3 linked regions of the Oreochromis niloticus genome follow. The protein of the gene in region 1 binds, or shares a complex with, the protein of each later gene. Links are inferred from orthologs where the notes say so. Each region holds a gene or a part of one and is shown in the gene's direction. Other genes may lie near its edges.

What was found.
Region 2: mbtd1 (region 1) and ing3 share a complex: the UniProt entries of both Homo sapiens proteins name them as parts of the nuA4 histone acetyltransferase complex. The link is inferred for Oreochromis niloticus from reciprocal best matches to the Homo sapiens genes MBTD1 and ING3.
Region 3: mbtd1 (region 1) and vps72a share a complex: the UniProt entries of both Homo sapiens proteins name them as parts of the nuA4 histone acetyltransferase complex. The link is inferred for Oreochromis niloticus from reciprocal best matches to the Homo sapiens genes MBTD1 and VPS72.

Annotation. Positions count from the first base shown.
Region 1 is NC_031973.2:29,982,600-29,990,053, forward strand, and holds the start of mbtd1 (MBT domain-containing protein 1), read left to right. Parts: upstream 1-4,418; 5' UTR 4,419-4,579; coding exon 4,580-4,600; intron 4,601-6,233; coding exon 6,234-6,438; intron 6,439-7,076; coding exon 7,077-7,210; intron 7,211-7,297; coding exon 7,298-7,412; intron 7,413-7,454. Other genes in the region: tdrkh (tudor and KH domain-containing protein), read left to right, coding at 413-477, 1,996-2,147, 2,251-2,361, 2,867-2,921, 3,449-3,504. UniProt on the Homo sapiens protein: Chromatin reader component of the NuA4 histone acetyltransferase complex, a multiprotein complex involved in transcriptional activation of select genes principally by acetylation of nucleosomal histones H4 and H2A.
Region 2 is NC_031981.2:22,999,872-23,007,747, forward strand, and holds the start of ing3 (inhibitor of growth protein 3), read left to right. Parts: upstream 1-4,829; 5' UTR 4,830-4,961; coding exon 4,962-4,989; intron 4,990-5,130; coding exon 5,131-5,202; intron 5,203-7,386; coding exon 7,387-7,487; intron 7,488-7,562; coding exon 7,563-7,628; intron 7,629-7,876. Other genes in the region: tspan12 (tetraspanin-12), read right to left, coding at 1,174-1,239, 2,395-2,530, 2,713-2,795, 3,218-3,367. UniProt on the Homo sapiens protein: Component of the NuA4 histone acetyltransferase (HAT) complex which is involved in transcriptional activation of select genes principally by acetylation of nucleosomal histones H4 and H2A.
Region 3 is NC_031985.2:19,712,416-19,719,990, reverse strand, and holds the start of vps72a (vacuolar protein sorting 72 homolog a), read left to right. Parts: upstream 1-4,538; 5' UTR 4,539-4,821; coding exon 4,822-4,938; intron 4,939-7,211; coding exon 7,212-7,364; intron 7,365-7,575. Other genes in the region: leucine-rich repeat and immunoglobulin-like domain-containing nogo receptor-interacting protein 1, read left to right, coding at 1,696-3,525. UniProt on the Homo sapiens protein: Deposition-and-exchange histone chaperone specific for H2AZ1, specifically chaperones H2AZ1 and deposits it into nucleosomes.

The DNA of each region.
Region 1 (7,454 bases):
TAATGCAAAATAATACTGCTTTACAGACAAATATGATGATTATAATGATAAGAGTAACACATTACTTTGAAATGGGTTACAATCAGCAATGTTTTTATTGAAGTATTACAAAGAAAAATATAACCTGGTACAAGTGCAGTTTTGTTGTTTGTGACCGTCATATCAGCATGAGACAGACTGGCTGTCTTCAGAGGAGGCTGGTGAGTTACTGATTTTAAAGAGCACACAATTTTAAATTCTGCATTTCTATGTTAGCTCATGCTGTGAGTGTTGCTTTGTACACCTCTTCATCGAACTGTGGAAGAACTTGTGATGTGACATACTGCTACTGCACACTGTAAAATGTTGGATGTAATGTGGATAAAAAAGGACATGGCTTATTAACAGCTTTTGCATATGCTGCAATTTTCAGGAGCGACTTCCTCAGTTTACCATTTCAAGCTATTGAGTGCAGCTTAGCAGGAGTGAAGCCAAAAGGTAAAGCTCTCATCTTGACAATGACTGTCTTTCTTTTTCTCTCTCTCTCACTTGCTCATTCACTCACTGTCTCTTACCCTTTCACTACCTTTCCCTCTTTCTTACACCTCTCTCTTACATACACACTCTTTCCCAAACACACACACACATACACACTTTGTCACACACTTGCTGGTACATGAGGACATAAGGGCACTTTTATGCCCACTGCTTACCTCCTGTCACACTGTGTTGTGCAGTGAAATTCATATCACGTCCACTGGCATTACCATTTTGGCGTTCTTTTGTCTGGTCGTGTATATATCATGTGTTGTGATATAGCCAAAAAATATGTTTTATTTTAACCATCAGTTGCACACAGAAGTTTTTCACAAATGACAATATTCTCACAGTATGTCTCTTTCTGTTGTCAACACGAACCCTTTAACAAAAAAAGTAAGCAAGAATTCACGAGACAAAGTGAAACAATTGAAATTAAAAAGGTGTTCTCTGTGCTTATAGCATATAAAAACTGTAAAATGTGATGACCTACAGAAACAAAAGTGTAGTTAATGTCTATAAAAGCCATTCACCAAAAACTGTCAGAGGTATCAGAGTGTCTCAGAACTATCGGCTCTATATGTGCTAGGAAGTTTAAACAACAAAAAGTGGTAAAATGGAAAACTGTTCCAAGTTCAGACAATGCCTGAAAAACCACTGAACAACAACAGTCATGTCACAGGTATTAGAGCATCTCAAAACAACCTAAATAATGATTGCGCTTTCTGTTCTAGATTTTAAACAACAAAACACACCACGCATATTGGTAAAATAATCACAAAGCTAAGGTATAATGAAGGATTGTGACTTGTACTCCTGAAAAAGAACACTCTCATCAGTGTTTAAGGTGTGTAAGTTCTGTGCCAACAACACAAGCCTGTCAACACCTCCAGGTTTGAGTGAAGCTTGGTGACATGTGACCACATTTCCACTAGTACTAAATACCATGTTCCACATTCAGGTTCGACATCCTCCTTGCGAAATCCAAACCACTGCCAGATTATTGATCCAGTGCTGTTTCTCTTTGGAACTATCTTGTCTGGCTCCTGTTCAGTTACAGTCTCATTTCCTTGCTTGTCTGAGACTCTCACTGTCACCATATTTTTTCCTATTTGGCAGTATATAAACGCGCATGCTCAGCGCAGTGTGCCAGGTAGAAAAACGTCTGGGGAGGTGGGATTAGTGATGCATTTGTAGCATGTGGGAGAAAAAAAACTGCAGACAGCTTAATATAACCATGGCAGTTTATACTCGATGGTTACAATAGAGCCATTTTAACCATCATAAGTGAAAAAACTACATTCGCTATATCACTCAGACTTACCTTACTGGGGAACATAAATAAAACTGACTGTGTGATGATGTTACGGTGGCACAATCAATGCAGAGGATATACTGAGGTCTTTTAGTATTCTGCAGTGCATTGTTCTTGAATTCTTGATTATTTCAGTCTCTTTCCTCCATCAACCTGTCATGCAGGAGGGGTTTGGACTGAGGAAGCCCTGGATCAGTTTGAGAGGCTGACATATTGTGCCTCTTGGAGACCCCTGCAGGCCAAACTGTGCAGCTACTCTCACTCGGAAATCTCCTCATGGCCCAGTGTCAAGCTCTATGACAACAGTGAGGGCAAGGTTAGATAGGATTTTATTTCTTAATAATAAGACTTTAATAAGCCTGTATTTGGTTTGTCCTTTACCCTGTCTCCTCTTTCCATGTGCATATCATGTAAAAAAGACTGTGGATGTTGGAGAGGAGCTTATACGATTGGGCTATGCCGTTATCTTCCATGAAGATTTGAATGGAAAAAAAGAGGGCTGCAATCTTGGCTGTCTGCAGATGATGCTGGTAAGTTACTGATTCTGCTTTTTGTGTCTTGCAGCGTCTCTTACTTCTTCCTGGACAAAAATAGGGTATCAATATACTTAATCTTGAACAGGACATCTGTAAGCCAGCGGGAAAAAATCCTGGAAAAATCAACACTAAACAGAGAGATAGATCAAAACTACTTGGATGATTGTGGAATTCTAATTTTTGGGAATCCAGACTCCCTCAGTTAACCTCCACCGACTGACAACAACCCTGACTTGCAGCCATGACTTGCAGGCTGCAAGACTGATGCCATTCAATTCAATTCAATTCAATTTTATTTATATAGCGCCAAATCACAAAAGTCGCCTCAAAGCGCTTCATAATCTCTGTCCAACTGTATCCGACAAGGTACTCTGTCATTTTTTATTATTATTATTTTAACTTATCTTTATGCCTGAGAGATTAGGTAATCCCCTTACTTCTGTTCTGAAAGTTTGAAGAACTGGTTAACAGCGGCTAATCACTTTTATTCTTCCAACAGGATGATGTAATAGGAGCATCATCAGAGCTCAGTCTTTCCTGTATCAGTTTATCAGGTGAGTTCTGTCATGGAACTGTAATTTGAGATTTGCCAGTGACTATGTTTAAGCGATCATAAAGTAACCCTCATACCCTTATGTTACTGGGATTGTATGTTGAAGTAGAAATGTTATCTAGGTTTCTAAATACAATAGAATATCCAAGTGATGTCCACATTGGATCAGATTCTTGACTTGGGACACTTCTTAAACCTACAGAGAGGTAGTGTATGCCCCCATGTGGTGGAAAATTAACAGGAATGCAGTTCTGTTAAATCAACTTTCTAAAGTGTCTCAAGAAGAAATGAACTCAACAATATACATTTTGGTTAGGATCAATTAACTTGACCCTAATGCTCAGAATACTTGTATTCAGTGCAATTTGTAGTTTATCTCCAACAAATCAGGAAATATAACATAGTGAAACAAAAGGGACAGTGTCACCATGACTCTGTCAAGCTTTTGTACCATGGTGGATAAACAAAAAGAGTTGAAGCTGCTGTTACAGTCATTGTTAACTTGAGTGTTTCCTTCTTGCACCTCAGAAGCTGCCTCTATATCAGGAAGTGTTGATGATGTTGTGGAGGACGAGTTGCTGTGAGACCAAAGATATTCAAAAAACCAAGGTATCTTCTCCCAGTTTGATGTCTGATTCTGAACATTTGCTAGTGAACGCTCTTGTGTGAACCATTATGTCTAAAAATGATGAACTTTTCTTTAGCAGTCCTCAACATCTACTCCTCAGCATCAGCCCTAATGATGATGTAGAGCTTTGCCTAACCTAAACCTAAACTTGATTACATAAACCCTCTTCCTGAAGCCTTACCTACTTGATGAGTGTGCAGCAGTTCTTCCAGCCATTATCACTTTGTTGTTGTTACTTCAGCAAATAATTCTTTGTTTTTTGTTTAATGTTTCGTTCTGCTTTGCCAAATTTTGTGTTCAAGGAACAGGGAAAAGAATAAATCTAGAATGCCAGTATTATTACTGAAAAGCACTGTGATTGGAATTACTGGAGCAAAGTTCATTTGGTTTGTGGTTAATATTGTTTAGTTTCTTGCTGTACTTGTATGTATATCAAAAAAACTATGCCCATTATCAGGCTTAAGTGAATATATTTTGGAAGTTAAAAGCTAAAGTGTTATTGAATGTGGTTCTCAGATTTTGTTCAATGTGAATATATTGCATCTACTGTAGAAATCTTTCACAAGAAAGATTGTCTTCGAAAATGTAATAATGTCACTATATCCTAATAAAATATTTATTTTACTTCACATGTACTACTGTATTTTATTTTGAAGTTCTTTTTATATGGAAAAATTCCAAATGAAAGTCAGGAGCTAGTTATAAACAAAACAAAACCATAGAAATTACTGTAACGTTTCTGTATTTACACCTACTGATAATCTGTAGTTGTTCTGAAGGCCCCTTTCATTCAGTTACTCTGCAAAGTCTATTATTTTGTGTCTGCATCGGTCGATGACCTCCATTGCAGATCCACCAATCACATGAAAGTAGGTTACGGTCGCTCATGCGCAGAGGCTGCAGAGTAATTTGTTGATATCCTGCTTGGTAGTATTTCGACTAAAATTCAAAGCTAGGTTATACCCCAGGTGAGGGGATTTGTTTGAATTAGGAAGTGCAGGTAACTGGAAGAACAGCTATATGAAGGGCTGATGGAAAACGCAAGGGATTTGGTGAGTTGGTTTGAAACATTTTTGGGCCGCGAGCCTCCGATTCCAGTGGATTGTTCAGGGTAGTACGCCTCCTTTGTTGTTATCTGTTTACGATAGCCAGCTAGTGGCTCACCCATCTACACATAATACTAAAGCTCTTTCTTTTCTCTCTCTCGCTCTCTCTCAAAAAAAAAACGAGTAGAGTTTTCTTACAAGTCTAACTATTGCAACTATACGTTAATAGACGAACGTAAAAAGGCTTTGTTCTGAAACCCCCCCCCTGGAAAAACAGGTTCTGCTAGCTAGCTCTGCTAGTGCTGTTTAGCTTTAGGAGGTGTTTGTAATAAGGCCGTCCCTTATTTTAGTTTCGGTATTAGTTTACTTTTCCAGTATATATGTATGTAAAATGTAGCTTACAAAGGATGTCTTTGGAAATGGGTGTCTTGATTTATTTTTTTTATTTTTTATTTTTTTTAAGTTAAACTGTTGCGCGTAGTGTAATGTTTGGGCTGAGATGCTGTGAAGAGGAAGTAAACTAGCTTTGACAACATGTACGCATTGTTCCGGATCCTGTGATCAGACTTCCATACTTTCACGTAGTATTTATTCATTTATTTAGAGATTTTTGGGCGTTTCGAAAAAAGTCATGCTGACTCAGATATGGTTCGCTGATATTTTCCTACCTGAATCTAAATGATGCATTAATGATGAAAGGCGAACTGTAAAAATACATCTTTCAACTAAAACAAGTTCAGCTTCACTTCAATACTAAAATTTAGCTTAGGGAGTTGATTTTTGTTTACATTTGTCTAAAACATCTTACAAATGCTCATAAAAAATGGAAAGAATATTGATAAAAAATAATAAAAATGTGAACCAAGAAGATTTGAATCTTTATTTTCTTCTGGTCCATTATTATTTTTTGCATCAACCATTGCAATCAAACCATTTCTTTTGCAACTATTGCAGACTGCGTCTGCTCCCCCATTCTTCCCCTTCCTACCGCCCAAGATTGCCTTAGAGCAATATTTCCTTTCTCGCTTCCTCACAAAAGTTGTTTTAAGTATTTTCGTTTTTTTGTATTGATTCGCACAGAGATTGAGATTAACAGTAATAAGAATTATTTTAAGGCACTATTATTGCTGTGCTTTCACCATTATATGTTTGAAGAAAAGGTTAATTTTATTAATATTAAAAACCATGGTATATTTAATTTGAAGAGCGCCACTGTTAAAAAATAAATAAAAAAACTGGGCATCCCTTCTGCACTAAAGACAAATGTTTGGCTAGTTTGTGTGGCTAAACTCCAGGACCACAGAACAAGGACATTTGTAAGGAGCTGTTAAAATAAAGTGCAATAGCTTAAAAGAATAGAAGTATGAGAATGCAGCTTTATTTTTCTTTTATTAAGTTTTAGTAAAGTAAAATAACTCAAAAGGGAATGGAGTAAAATAAAATGACTTGAATGAAATATGTTTTTCTGAACAGTTACCTTCTCTTAGACCAATTTCACTGCTTTCTCTGAACAACGCCAAAGTAAACGTGTTACATTATATGGAGAAATGGAGAGGAGAACCTCCTGAGCTACAGACACCCCTAAAAGCATCCATATGAATTCATTCAGTGTTTCTCTGTTGTGTCCTCATCTGTAAAGGCTGAGCGTACCCCACGTTCAGATCGTAAGCGACGAGACTCATTCGGGATGTTTGATGGCTATGACAGCTGCAGCGAGGAGTCCACCAGCAGCTCTAGCTCAGACGACAGTGAGGATGAGGTGGTACCCTCCATCCCTGCTAGTCTGCCCATCATCAAGAACAATGGACAAGTCTACACCTACCCTGATGGAAAGGCTGGAATGGGTCAGTACATGAGGCTTTTTTTGTGTGTGTTGCTTAAATATCAATCTGTGAGTGAACAATAATAGTGTTTACGTTTAGCTGCTGTGGCTCAGGAAGTATAACGATTATTAGTTTGAGCCTCAGCTCCTCAACGTTCATATGTGCAAATATCCTTGGCCAAGATATTGAATTACCTAAACAGTTAATGCATTACTTTTGGTATACCCTTTGAATTAAATCTAAAAATTTTCATTTAAATCACATTTGGTTAATTTAAAATCCACTGTAGTGATGGGGTGGCTCGGTCCCCTTCTGCTCCATTCTACATGCCAAATATCCTTGGCCAAGATAATAACCCCAAGTTGTTCTCCGATGCATCCACCGGACAATGAATGTGTATGAATGTTGGGTAGGAAGAACTTGCATAGAAAGTGCCTAGAAAAAAGTACTTGTGCGATTGGATGTGAATGGGTGAATGAGGAAAGATTTATAAAGAGCTTTTAGTATTCAGAGTAGAAAGGCGCTATATAAAAACCAGTCCATTTACCACGTACAGAGCAAAAATTGCAATTGTGTCAATTTCCAAATACTTATGGAGATAACTATAAATGCCATTTACCATTTGTAGACTGCTGATGTATTTCGGTTTGTTTTCACAGCCACCTGTGAGATGTGTGGGATGGTCGGTGTACGAGATGCTTTTTACTCCAAAACCAAGCGTTTCTGCAGTGTGTCCTGTTCTAGGAGTTATTCCTCAAATTCTAAAAAAGCTAGCATCTTGGCAAGACTCCAGGTAAATTCATTATCTTTGATAAAAAAGTATAGTAGTTTCATAATTTTGTATTGTGTAAATATTAACATCTGCTTTGATTTTTACAAGGGCAAACCACCAACAAAAAAGGCCAAAGTCTTACAGAAACAGCCTCTCATGGCAAAGTTGGCAGCTTATGCCCAGTACCAAGCAAGTCAACAGAACCAGGCCAAACTGAAAGCAGGTAGGCTGTGAAAAAGCAATCATGATGGGGCTCATATTTCTG
Region 2 (7,876 bases), on another chromosome or scaffold:
CTCGTTTTATCTTTGGTAGTCTGTTGTCAGCTGTGCTTTGTATTTACTTCCCCTGCCTCGTCCTGTGATTACTGCCAGCTGTTCCTTCTGCTGGCCTCATTACCTCCGGTATTTATCATCTCAGTCTACTCGTGTCCTTTGTCCAGTTCTTCTGCACTGCCGTGTTTTGGCTTTTGTTTCGTTCTGATTTTACCTTCCTCCTCCTCTGTACTGCAAGAATTCCAGCCACTTTCCACACAACAAACCCAAAACACACTACAGTGAGCCTGAGGCCTCACACACTCAGAACTTCAGGTTTTTACTGCAACCCCCCAAACAGGGACCAACCTGAGGTCCATGTGTGAGTGTCTGCTCGACTGATAAAGAAAAAAAAAACTTCACTACGATACCCACAACCCCCTGCAGGCAGCTGATCCAGAGATAAAAGATGAGCCTGAGGTCAGAGTTCAAAGGCTGGCTCAAACTGTTGTGCTTCAAAGACAGCATTCAAAATGAAACTTTATAAACAACAAACTAAAGAACATATTCTGTCACCCCTAAAATCTGATTGAGCCAATCAGATTTTTTCTTTAGTTTGTTGTTTATAAAGTTTGAAGATCACCTGAAACTTTGAGAACTTTGAGAAATCAGCAGGAAAAGCTCAGGCTGTAAGCAACGAGTCAGGAAGCGCTGCTCAAGGCTCTCTGAGCTCTCCCAGAGGAGCAAGCCTTCAATATTTATTTTGTTATCGTTAGCGTGAGTCTGACACTCACTGACCTACGAACTACTGCAGGTAATGTACCCTGCAGTACTGGAGTAGATGTATTAAAGTACTTTGCAGGTGGGTGTGAGGTGACGGGCGTGTCGTGACAGCGCTGAAAGAGGAGCCGGATAAGTCTGAGATTCCTGATTATTATTAGAGACAAGCCGGGAGTCCAGCCGGTGCATGAGGCGAGAAATGATCCGTTTAGGACAGAAACACTTGCATGTGTGCGACACCACCATAACTCCGTACTGACAAACTTGTTGCCATGACGATCAGTCAGTGAGAAAAAGCTGCAGAATTTCACATGAACAGAGGCTCAGTTATGAAACATGATTATAATTTTACCTGCTCTGATGGTTTGTTGGTTAAACACATTCACGTCTGACTACATGACACGTTCAGGGACTCAAAGCTTTCAATGTTCTCACCTCCTCGTAGGTCCACACAGCACTGGCCAGCTCCACACAGAAGATCACCAACAGACTGCCGAAGTACTGAAACACAGGCGGAGACGAGTTTAGTCTGATAATCAACCTAAAACCTTTCTGTCAGAAAGCCGTGAAGCCGACGTCGTCCCCTCCCTCAGTGACAGCCCCGAGGCGTCTGCAGCTCTAAACTCTGAGCAGCACAGTAATGTGTGATGTCTGAAGCTGGTTTTATCTCCTTGTCCACCTGAATAACCTACTCACTCACAAACATGAGTGACATCTACTGTTATGTAATCTCACAACTAACTGAGGTGTGTGTGTTGGAACTGGCTGAGCGGGTTCCCATCATGCCCTGGGGTAGTCCCTGTAGCAGACTGAAGCTCCTCTCAGCAGCTCATCTTTCGGAGACAATCTTATCACCTGTTGGGAACAATGGGGCACCCAACACCTGGCCCTGCCCAATCAGAGCACAGCAAACAGGTGGTGTAGTTCAAACACACAGTTGGGTGGACAGTGTGACCTCTGTGAGCTCTACCTGAGAGTCCAGAGTGGGCTGTGTGTGACATCATACACCTGCACACCTGCTGACAGTGGTGGACTCTGGACTGAGCTCAATCCTCCCATATGCAGGTGTGTGAGGCGGGTGGAGCGTGTGGAGGTAGAGGCTGACCTCTTCACCTTGTTTAGCAGCTGGTGAGCAGATGATGCTCTGATAGGCTGCAGCAGAACCAATTGATAAGAGCTCAGTCTACCTGAGGAGTGTGTCATTATGATGAAGCTTAGGTGAGTCTGCCTCAGTGCTCATAGGGCTTCAGGTTCAGAGACATCAGCTCCAGGTTTCTGATGTTCCCACTTCACTGTGTACGCAAAATGCCAACCCCATCACAGGAAGGCGGGAGCCGCGGGCGCTTGTGTCATGACATCAGTCTCAGTGTAGACCTGTCACAGCTAACACACTGATCAACAGTCATGCAAACATACAGGTAACACACTGACCAACAGTCAGAGCAGCTAACAATGTTTCCTCTGCTGGCTGATTCACAACAGAGACTTCATCTGTGCTTTTCCCAATGTGTCAGACCACTCAGAGACTGTTTCCTGCTCAATGCCAGCTGAATCCAGGACGTGGACTTCCTGCTTCTGATTGTAAAATCTGAGATAAATGTCGTCTTTGGTTAAAGTAAAGATCCTGTCTGAAGTGTCTGATGTGAGCATTCGTACCCAGGAGAGCAGCAGCAGGTCACACCTGAGCGTGCCGCAGTACCCCACCATTGCCACGATGATGAGAAAGCAGCACACGGCAACAATGACGGGGTGAACAGCTGGAGAGTACGTGAGGACGGCAGCTTCCTCCAACCTGCATATACACACACACACATGAATTAGCCTCCATGCTCTGAGCTTCACAAAAGCAGCTGTTTAGTTCACATCTGGATCATCTATCAGAGACAAGGTGTGTCAGATAAAGCTGATTAAAACTTTCAGGTGCTGTCACCTGGTTGGCTCTCATACCTGAGCTGCAAGCCCGGCCAGACTCACCTGGTGTGGGCCGTCAGGGTGAGAACGGTGTTGAGAGAGTCACGGATCCACGCCGCCACTCCCAGCACACATGCTGACATCAGCTGGACACACAGAAATAAACACATGGATATGTTTCTGCTGCCTATAATAACATCTGAGAATGTGAAGCAGGCAGCGAGGAACACCCGGCCTGCTTCACCCCAGCACTGCCTGTCCCTGTACACAGAACTACCACTAAACAGTACTCTCTACACAGAATTACCACTAAACACAGTATTCTGTACACAGAATTACCACTAAACACAGTACTATGTACACAGAATTACCACTAAACACAGCACTCTGTACACAGAACTACCACTAAACACAGTACTCCAGACAAAGAACTACTACTAGACACACAGTACTTTATGCACAGAACTGCCACTAAACACAGTACCTACAGTTACTACAGTAAAATACTGCATTGTTTGACTGCTTTAGTATAATGACTCTAACACACTGATCATTAAAGGGCAATTACACTCTTGTAGTCGTGCGCGTGCCCGCTCCTCTCACCCAGAACAGCAGGTTGAGCGCGTACAGCAGGCAGCGCAGACACCTCACTGCGTCCTCGCGAGCCATCCCGACCGGAGCTCCTCCGCGTGCCGCTCATCTGAGCCCGGGGCACCATGGCAACATGCTCGCTGCACTCACACAGCACGGAGCGCTCAGGAACTGCGCGTGCTCCGTGCGTGAAACCCGCATTCCGTCCCCGCGCGCCCTGGCCCGCTCGGTGACCAGCAGCAGGTGGTCCTCACTGCGCACGCTCCGAACCGGTCACCGCTGTCCGCACACCTCCGCACAGATCCAGACTGTCACAAAATACACGGACACACACACACACACACACACACACACAGAGCTCCGGCAGTCTGCTGCGTAACAATCCGAACCGTCCGCTCCTCTGCTCCTCCTGCTGCTCCTTCTTCACTAATTAAAGCAGCAGCAGCTCCGCCTCCTCCCTCACAGCGTCCGGGGGGAGGACAGAGGAATGTGTCCGCCTCCAGCCGCACAGCCGTGGGGTCAGCAGGCCGAGATTGAGAGGATGAAGCTGCAGGAAACACACAGCGCTTGGAGTGTTTGTCCACATAGTTCTGGTCATAAACTCTTTGCAGCAGCACTTTTTGTCCCGAAATTATGTGGACACTTATTTTAGGCTACCTTGTAATTATTTTCCACATACTTTCTGACTATTTGCACATATATTATTGTGTTACACACGGGACTGCCGGACACTGAACATAAAGACGTAGAAAGAAAAATGTATGACAAAAGTATGTGGACATAAACTTCCACGGAAATACAGTAAGACATATCGTTTGTGTCTACATAATTTTGGCCATTTAGGCTGCCTGTTTGTTTTTCTGCTCACACTTGTGATCAAAATTATGTGAATGCATGTGATTGGCTATCTAAATGGTAAATGGATGGTTCTTATAACACTAATCTAAAACAATATATATACCCAAAAGTATATAGACTAACATGTACACTCATTTTAAAGTTATTAAAATCAATGATAAGAACTTATAATTAATATATGATCATTAAAATAGAATCGCTGCTCGGTTCATGAATAATTATAGTCACATGAAGTGGGATATGTTTAATTAACAGCCGAACATGTGTGAAAACACAAGCGAATGTGGACAGAAGTTACCATACAGCTTATACTGTTTGTCCACATACTTTAAATGTGTTAAATTAGTACCACAACGCACAAATCTAATATTTAATACATGAACAAACATATCTGAACAGAAATGGTGGTGAGATGGATATATTCTTACTATCTCTTTAGTTGTTTCTGTCCACATATTTTTGTAGAAAAGTAAATATAATTTTCAGCTGGTCATTAATGCAATTTTTCAGGTAAAAAAATGTCCCAAAGCTTTGTGTAAATGTGCAGTCGAAATGAAATATTTTACAAGGCTTGAGAAAAACAACCCTCTTGCTTTTTATTTGCAAATAAATAAATAAATAAAGGATTACTGTACTGCCTAAAAGACGTAAATAAATGTAAATACAAATACAATTCCCATGATGCATCTGTCCTGTCAACGCCTGCCTGTATTTGAACCAATCAGAGCGCAGGCAGACGTTTGCGTCAGCATCCATGACCTCCTTTTTTCTGGGTATTTTTTCTGGGCAGACGTTGGCAGGCGGCGCCATATTGAAAGCAGAGAATTGTCGGAGAAAACGGCTGAAAGCTTAAATTAAACACGATGCTGTACCTGGAGGACTACCTGGAGAGTGAGTATGGGACTGCAACGAAGCGGCGGCGGTGTGACAGGGCTCTGCTGCGCGTTAAATATGTGTTATTTACCGGCTAGGTCGGCTCCGGCAGTTAGCCTAGCCGTGCTAGCAGGTAACCGCCTTTTCTTCTCCTGGCAGTGATCGAGCAGCTACCCATGGATCTCCGCGACAGGTTTACGGAAATGAGGGAGATGGACCTGCAGGTTCAGAGTACGTACAACCCCGCCGCCAACGGCGCCACACACCGGCCACACCACACCGGGGACACGCGTGCTGCGGAATGCACACATAGTGGCAGCCCTGCTGGGACTGTCCAAGCAACAGAGTCGCGTCCCGGCGCCGATGAACGCCCGAGCTGCGCTTACTTAATTAGCACATGTTAGCACAGGCGGCTAACGGGCTGAAACCCAGTAGATACCAGCATGAGACTGCAGCACAGCATCCACCTGCAGGGTCACATTCACCTACCTACAGGGACCCCTCCCCTTTAACACTGCCGATCCGAAAGTTCACATTCATGCACATGAAAAGTAAAGTTGCTAATAAAGCAACTTTAAAATGATTATCGCTGTTAGACGCTCACATGAGGTCCTGATCATCATTTTAACACTTTATAAATAAAAAAAATAATCAGTTATATTTGGTCTAAACTGAGATTATTTAACAGGATTTCTGTAAATATTTGGGGGGGGGTTAAGTTTAAATTTAAAAAAAAAAAGGTTTTAGTAAAATATGTTTTGGTAAATTAAGTTGCTGAACAAAATTAATTTTGAACTGAAATTTAAAATGAAGGATTATTAAAATAGTAATCATTTCCTCTAAAATATTTTGTTTCAATCACTGACACAAATTTAATTGGACTTAGACTTAGATAAATTAAACCACTTTCTAAACGTTTGTGTGTGCAGCCAGAAAAAAAAGAACAATGTTGTAACAGTGTTATAAACGCGACTCTGAAAGGTGTAATAATAAATCAGTGTTAGGGATACTCTGAATGAGCCTGTGCTGGGCGCTAGTGCTGTGTGATACTGCAGATTTCAGTATTGATCCAATACCAAATAAATACAGGTCCAGTATTGCTGGACACTTTGCTGTCATTTTTCTATCTGTTTAAACCTCAGGATATTAACCCTTTAAGACCTACCATAAAACCAAGTCTGCCAGAGCTTATCTTCATATTTTTAGATGCTGTAGTGCCATTTTTTGTGAGTATTTCAAGTTGCTATAGTAACTACATGAATTGCAAAAAAGTGCAATAAACTACAAAAGAATGTACAATTGTTTTTGTTTTTTTGTTGTTGTTTTTTTACACATATTTCTAGTTAGAGAAATTTCAGGGGTATATCCCTCAAAACTGTAAATGCAAAAAAGTTGCACAAAATAGTTTCCAACCACAGGAAATTTATTTTGAGTGTATTCATAGTTTTATTTTTGACATACACAAATTTTTATATACTGTAGGAAAAACAAAAGTAAATATTGTAATGCAAATTTGCAAAAAACAGCATGTGCATCAACATAAACTATTTCCAGCAGTGTAATTTGAGTTCTAAGCATCCCAGAAACTGTACAGAAAGCCATAAACATGAATTTTAAAACCACCAGCATATCTTTGTAAATGCCCTATAGGAAAAAAAAACTACATTTTCCGCGAAGATGATGCCACTTCTGGTTTCAGGTAGGTAATGGCGGATGCGCTCATCGTAATTAGCAAAGCGTGTTTCTGGAATACTATGGTTTTGTTGCTGCAAATGCTTTTTACACAATTTTTTTCATTTTCATTAGAGCATAATTCTGCTCTTATATTAGATCCTGGTGGTTTTCAGGTTATTTATTGGTCTTTAGGATCAGCAGACTGAGCTGTGTGAAGTTGTCAGCCTCGGTCCGTGGGCGTTTTCAGTTGGTCTTAAAAATGCACAGACTCTATATAACTTTAAAGTGATGATGAAACCACTTCAGTTTTAATCACATTGGTTCAGAGACACAGATCTGTGACATAACAGGAGCACTCACTGAGTGAGAGCTGGAGAAATAAAGTTAAAATCAAACTTTATTTATACTGCACCATTGAAGCAGGTCAGGTCAGAGAGCATATCCAATCAGTAATCAACAAAATCTGACAAATATTATCCACACATGGCACACTCACTGCTGCAGGTTTCAGCTGGCAGGAAACACTCAGAAACAAATCACATGAGGGAGTGTGGGCCAGGTGAGTCCTCAGCTCTGATTTCATTACAGCTACAGTCCAAAGGTGATCTCCAGGCTCAGAATAAGTCTGCAGTTCACCAGAGAGGAAACACCTGAGGGAGGGCCGCACTCAGACTTTACACACGTGATGTTAAAATGCTGAGTGCTGCATTTTCTCACGTTGTTTCCTGTTTGTTCCTTCAGATGCCACGGATCAGCTGGAGCAGAAGGTCATTGAGTTCTTTGTAAACGCCAAGAAGAACAAACCAGAGTGGAGGGAGGAGCAGATGGAGGTCATTAAAAAGGTCAGAGGTGGCGGATTCTTCTTGTTTCTGTGCGTGTGTGTGTGGATCTTGGGTTAAACCTGCGTGTGTTCTTAGGATTACTACAAAGCTCTGGAAGATGCAGATGAGAAAGTCCAGCTGGCCAATCAGATCTATGACCTGGTGAGTAAAGGTTTCCTTCAGGTGTCACTCAGGTGATCACAGAATGGTAAAGGTGCACATTTAGGCTTAAACGGCTTTAACATGTAGAAATCTGAGGAACCCTCAGTTATTCCACACAGCCGCCACTAGATGGCAGAAAGAGCCTTGAAGAGCCACTAAAAAACCACAAGGAGTTACTTATCCTGCAGTCTGAGAGCATTGTCACTATCACTGAATGATACCAGCTAAACTCAGACCCTTCACTTATA
Region 3 (7,575 bases), on another chromosome or scaffold:
TTTTGTCTGGTAACACTCAACAGATAAAGGAGAAGCGGTGAAGCGATAATCTCAGACAGAGGAGATGGATTCTGTTGAATGAACTGCAATATCAATTCACCGAGAAGTTAAAATCTTAATTTAATATCTTTATTTTGTCGTTGGTTGTTTACATTAGAGGGGAATGTGTTTTTTAAACTAATCCACAGTGTGGAGGTTTGTCGCTGAGCTTTGAGAACTGTAACAAAATAATGAGCTCAGATTTTCAACTCCCAGCCTCCCTCAGTGAATCGCTCAGGTGTCGAGGTTTCAGACGGATGATTTTGGAAAGTACTTCAGATGTGAATCTGGCCTAAATGTCACATCAGTGAGGATAAAGGAGAAAAATTATGAAACTGATGAATGAAAGGTATTATATGATCTGAAATTATTAACACTTAAAGTCAGTCAAAAGCACATTTCTCAATATTTCCAGGACTACAAATAAAGGAAACTCTATCAGAACACCTGAGGTCCTATAAGGTTTTTTTTTTCCTTAACTCTTGTGTGAAATAAACGACAAAATATCACCTTACAAGTCTGCAGGGGTACGAGCTGTTTCCATATACACCTCCTGTTTGTCAAGAACAAAAGGATCACATTATTAACTAGTGGGTTTAGTTACGAGCGAACAAACTTTTTCCACGTGTAATAAATTGTTCTTTTTCAATATACATTAAAGGTCTTTGTGTAATGTTATTATGGCTTGGATTTAAAATTATAAATCTATTTTTTTCACATTCATCTTTATTGGCTTATCTAGTCAAAATGCATGATCATGCAGGAGTGATAATTTTTCCCATAGAAGACCACAAATCGTATTAATTGTGTTCTCTTCATATTTGGGGGTGTGTGGGGGGGTGGTGGTGTCTAAAACGCTTAGACAAGCAAATTAATAAATAGAAAGAAAAGAAGACGTACGTATCGTGCCAAGTGCTTGGCAACCATATTGCCACATAACTGAGGATAAGTGGCTTCTTTCAGCATCGTGACTGAATCAAATAGTCACATTTGCTGTTTATCCTAATTAGAGCCATTTAGTTAATCTTCTAGAGAGGGAGCTGGAATGGAGATGAGCAACGAAAGAGCTGAATACCAAGTTTTATTAAAAAAAAACAACAAAAACCACACACACACACAACAAAAACACAAAAACTGTTGGAGCCCGCCCGACACTATACTTAATGTTGTGTAGGAACAACATTATTTCTTTTAGCCATGGAATTATGAGAGTGGGGAAGCTTTGTCTCCTTCCACTGAAGTGAGGCACTTTAATACTTTCCCTGTTGATGTAAATTCTTCTGGCACATAGAGCTCAAAGGAGGAGTTTGAGAGTTTTAGGGAGTAAATCAAAGAACGAGGATCAAATGAACATCTGCCACATTCATCGCTTGTGTTAAACAGGTTTTTGTAAATTAAAGTGTATTCTATGTAGAGTTTAAACTGAATTAAAGTCAGACTGGCATAAGATAAAGTGGATTTAACCCAATCAAGAGATCTCTGCCACCATCCATGTGACAAGTTGACATCCAATTCTTCTTTTCTCTATTCCTAACTGGCAGTGGTGATACAAAAATAATAATTTAAGATTAAAAAAATGTATACAGAAAGACCCATGACTCCTTTCACCTGTGATTCACTTTATCTATCCCCTCACTCGTACACACAGGTCACCAGATGTTCGAGAGGAGCGCCGTCCACCAACGGCTTTGCTGGGGAGCTCTCTACCTGCTGGCAGCAGGGGTGGCTTTGACATCTGAGACGCGTTGGCTGTGTCCGCCATCCTGCCACTGTAACGCTACGGCGCTGGAAGTGAACTGCTCTGGTGGCCAACTTACCAGAGTTCCTGATGGTCTCTCACAGGAAGCCAGGCTGCTAAACTTAACCCAAAACACACTCAAGACTTTGGTGCGTCAGCAGTTCCACACGCTGACACAGCTGTCGGACTTGGATTTAAGTGACAATCTTTTGGTAATAATTGAAGTGGAAGCCTTTCTTGGCTTGCAGAGTCTGAGAACTCTGCGCCTTTGTCGCAATCATCTGAAGATTATCCCAGTGGGAGCGTTTGCTGGCTTAACAAACCTCCAGTTACTGGACGTAAGCAGCAATCAGCTTCTTGTTTTCCTCGACTTTACTTTCAGTGAATTAAACGCCCTGCGGTTCATGAAAGCTGCAGATAATGACTTGGTTTATGTCTCTCATCAAGCTTTTACAGGACTAACCAGTCTGCAGGAGCTGCACCTTGATGGCTGCAACCTAACTGCTATGCCAGCAGAGGCGCTCACACAACTTAGCGTGCTGAGAAGCCTTAGTTTTCACCGACTGGGCCTCACTACGCTGCCAAACTACTCTTTCCGCCACCTAGTCCACCTAAAGGAACTTGTCATTTCTCATTGCCCCTGGCTGGAGAGTCTGTCAGGAAACAGTCTCTTTGGCTTAAACCTCACATCACTAACCATTAAACATGGCAACCTAAGTGCCTTTCCCTACATCCCTTTACATCACCTTGTATATCTCGTATACCTTGACCTTTCTTTTAACCCCATCACCTACATTCATGCAAACCTTCTTGGAGACTTGCTCCGGCTCCAAGAGTTACATCTTGTTGGGGGATCGCTGCTTAGGATTGAAATCGGAGCATTCAAGGGTTTGGCCCACTTCAGATTGCTGAATGCATCCAGAAACCATCTTACCACACTTGAGGTTGGAGCTTTTTATTCAGTGGACACCCTAAGAACTCTGGGGCTTGATAACAACCCACTGGCATGTGACTGCCGTTTGCTTTGGGTGGTGCAAAGGCGACTCTACATGGACTTTGGTGAAAGTCCGCCAACTTGCATTACCTCAGTCCAGCTGCAGGGCTGGAATTTTCTGGATTTCCCTGAGGCTGAGCTGCCGGATTTGCTCACCTGTCGGCCACCTCGAATTCTGAACCGCAAAGCTCAGGTGATGAAAGTAGATCAGGGACACACAGTGGTGTTTCACTGCAGTGCCGAAGGTGACCCTCTGCCATCTGTCAGATGGCTAAACCCACAGCTAAGATCTTTATCACCCATCGGCAGAGTACGAGCTCTGTCCAATGGCTCGCTGGAGGTTCGCTATGCTCAGCCTCAAGACAGTGGCAAGTATCTCTGCGTGGCATCAAACGCAGCGGGAAACGACAGCCTGCCCGTTAGCCTTCATGTCCAAACCTTTCCATCATCTTCTAAGAAACCATTTCGTCTTAAAGGTTGGTCTGCCTTTCCATCTGCTGCTCCAGGTGTGAATGGAAATCAGAAACTCCATTTTGATGTAAAGACGCTACTGATAGCAGCAACCATAGGGTTTCTCTCATTTTTCAGCTCTGTGAGTGTTTGTTTCATTTTCATGTTCTTCTGGAGTAAGGGCAAAGGTCAGATAAAACACACAGCCACGATCGCGTATGTGCCACGAAGCGCCATGTCGAGCAGTAATGGAGGGACAAGCAGCTATATGGAAACGGGGAGGTTTACCATGAAGCTGTTATGAGTCAATAAGCAAAGAATATATTCACCTGATATGAGTAGGTATCAGTGAATAAACTGCAAGATGCTTCAATTTATTTGTTTTTTGCTTGAATCTGATAATAATGAGCATGAAATCTTAATTAATAGTATTTTAAATTGCATTTAAGAAATGTGACCTGACAAACCATGATCATGTTTATCTTGAAACACAAAAAATAAGGAAATGAGGATAAAATAAATTAAAGAGTGAACTTAAAATAACAGTTACATTGGACTTCGGGTGGACTATTTGGACTGATGAGATATGGAGAATCTAACAATAGGGGTATTAACCTTATATTAAGGTTAATGTGCAGGTTATTGTGTAGCTTCTTTTCTGTAGCATGTTGTTTTTTCTTGATTAATTTCTGCACTGTTTATTATTTAATAAATGTGTGAAATGCAAGTTGGTTGTTTTTTTAAAAATTCTGCTATCCAAGAACTTGGAAAAATTAAAGTGATTATGCTTTCACAAATTTGGTGTACTTACTTAAAAATTTACAGCACTACAGCATCCAGTGAGGAGCAGCACACACAGCACTTGGTTTAATGCGTCTATATTTGAACTGCAAGGTTTAAAAAATCTCCATAAGCAGTTTTGTACTTACATTGTGGGCAAGTAGACCGTAATACTTAACTTACCTTCACCGGTGAGTGGAGCTGGCTGCAATAACTGACAACTAAAACGGTAAGGGGTGGATATAATTTTTAGTTCAGGCTAACAATAAACAAATATAATAAATAAATGCGTAATAAATAAATGACTTTAACAGTAGATAGAGACTGCTGAGTAGTGCAGTCATTATCGTGCTTACAAAAATTACAGAGTTGCCATGACAACGCATACGCACACATACCTCACAGTTTCCTGAAACAGTTATTCAATTTTTGAATAAAATATTTCCTAATAGAAGCTTCGCATTAACTGCGTAATTGATTATTTTTTTCCATGTCAAGCCAGACAACTAAAATAAACTGTTAGTCCGCCCGCTAGCCCGGAAGTAGATCAACAGTCCCGGATATGGTTGCTTGCTAAACGAGAGCTACCGGTCAGTTGTACATTTCATTTGTCAGTGTTTATCGCCTCTTATAAGAAAAATTATAAAGTATCCCTTGAATTTAAAAGGGTCTACAAATATGGGCACCTACATACAATTAAGCAAATATACTGAGTAACGACGAGGTCAAAGAGGTTCCCGCAAAACGATCTATATCTTTTAGCGTAACATAACGAGCTAAGTAGCTTAGCATTGATTAGCATAGTTTGGAAAGCACAATCATGAGCCTCGCAGTTGGCCGCGAACCCAGAAAGACTGCGGGAAACCGTATGTCCAAACTACTGGATGCTGAAGAAGAGGATGAGTTCTACAAGACCACTTACGGAGGGTTCAACGATGTGAGTAACCAAACTGATAAACACAGAGCGCGATAAAGAGTTAGCATTAGCCGGCTCCAGTGTTAATGACTAGAGCCTAAAAACAAAGTTTGTTCTGCGCGCAATACCTGAATTACCGCTTCTCGTTTTTAGGGAATTTGGTTCATGTCTATTTGCTGCCTGACAATGAAGCAAGCAGCCAACTCACTTTTATATTTATACATTTATATTATTTACAAATTAGTATAACGGAAGAATTTAGTTTCTGCCAGGCTACTGACCATGCACTAGTACAGGAGACATCTCTCACGATTTTGAGACTGACATGACTGGGAGTGGGTCTCACTGATATAAATCAGACTCTCACAGCATTACACGATCCAGACCTTTTAGACAAGCCAGCACGTCTTCACACGTTTATTTTAATATTAAATCCTAATGAGAGTATCATATATGGCAGGGCTGCTGCATTATACTTCAATACTTTTAAAGAGTTTGTCAGGAAACTCTTGACTAAAGGGTTATGTGCATGTAAACAGCAATTTTAAAAGCTATTCTAGTTTTATCAGGTTCTTGCTAGGGCAGATCAATTAAATGTATTTATTTATTTATTTTTATTAATTTGTTGGGGTTTATTGGATTTTGTATAAATCCAATAAAATAAATTAATTAATTAATTTAGCAGTAAAAAATAAATTTAGCAGTCCATCACTGAAAGCACTTACTTCCTCTCTACTAGGCTGAGGCTGTGGTTCAAAAGTGAATTAACTCTCACTGGTAATTGGGGAGTCATGTTTGATTGTGATTTTTAACAGTAACCATTCCTGCCATCATTTCCGTAGTGATGTTGAAAAACAATCTCATCAGATTTTGGATTTTGACAAGAGAGAAAACTGAGCTGAGTGTGAAAGCGAAGCTGTCGATTTTACCAGTCGATCTGTGTTCCTACCCTCGCTATGACCACGAGCTGTGGGCAAGAACGAGATTGCAAATGCAAGCGTCAGAAATCAGTTTCCTCCAAATGGTGTCTGGGCTTTAGAGAAAGAATGAGGAGTTCAGTGATTTCAGTATAGCGTCTACTTTACATATCAGAAGGAGCCGGTTGGGGTGGGTCAAGAATTGGATTATGATGCCTCCTAGGGGAGGTGTTTCGAGTGTGTATTAGCAGGAGGTGGCCCTGGAGCAGACCCGGTAGAGGGAGGTCTGGGGCTTCTCTACTAACACTGCTGCGCCTATTACCTGGACCTGGATTAGCAGCACAAAATGGAAAGATAAATGGAGAAAGCTCGTCATTAGGCTGGGGTTCTCAGATCTGAGAGTACAGTTTTGGAACTATAAGAGAAATGAGGTGAATTAAAAGGACACATCTAAAAATGAGTGTGTCTTGCCACTGTTCATTCGAAATGGTGACCATGGCTTAGTTTAGAGTTGGCCTTACAATTATAGTTTGAACACCAGCTGTAAACAGAGCCTAGATGATGCCAGCTTTTCCCGCTTCACGCTTGAAGAGAGAAGAAAGTTGTGTGATATTGTTTGTCAGAACATTTGATGCTGTAGCAATCTCACACGTTATGGCTTGCTTTTGAAGATGCTAATTTGTTTCCTCAATTTACAGTGTGGCTAATTTTCTTCAAACAGCTGCTGGTTCAGGGGCCACCTTGTGTAGGGGGATTTGGCACCGGCAGCTCTGGCAGTTCTGACAAGAGTGGCTTCATAAAAAAATCACAAACAGATCCTGAGATGCCTCAGTCATCTCTGCTGGGACTTTGATAAAGCACTGTGAACGTGCCTGTGTGTGCACACGCATCCTTTATCTGTGCAGTTTTCAGGGATATTTTTGTCTTGTGCTGCTTTCTAAATCTTTCCTGTCATTGGATGTTGGGTTTCAAAATGACCCACATTTGTTTTAATAAATTTGAAAATTCACATTGTTAGTGCGCATAATGCATTTGTGTTATTTTATTTATCTTTGCACCTGGTTTGGGCTTAAGGCTTGAGTTTGAGTTTTGCTTGAGTTTTGTGATGTAGCTTTGACAATGAGGGAAAACATCTTTAATAAAAATAAATAACCTGTTTATTATTAAATCTCTTAATGGGATGTGACTTTGAATACATTGCTACACACTTGCCAGATAGAAATGTGTGAGATTTTAATCAATAGGCCTGAAAACTACACTTAGAAAAAATGCAGGGGAAATTTGGTGTTTGCTGTTATGTCTCAGATTACTTGCAGATGGTTTGTTCTGTTGTTCTTTTCCTGATTTTATTTATTGCTCCTTTTTTTTGTCTTTCAGGAATCGGGAGATGATGAGTATCACGGAGAACATTCAGATACAGAGGACGAAGTTGACAGTGACTTCGACATCGATGAAGGTGACGAGCCGGACAGTGACCAGGAGGAGGACGCACCTCGGAGGAAAAGCCGGGTTGTCACCAAAGCTTACAAGGTACTGCAGGACCAATCAAACTTTGAGTTAAGCTGAATTCAATTGCCCTAATACCATGTGTCATCATGTATCACTTTGCTGCGGATTTGAAACACAAAGATGGAAACTATTTGGTTTTCCCTTAAAAAAAGAAAAAGGAAAAGTACTATTTAGCACCTTTCTTTTAATCCCTGTGTTGTCCTTCAGCCCCACATGCATACAGTTGCACACA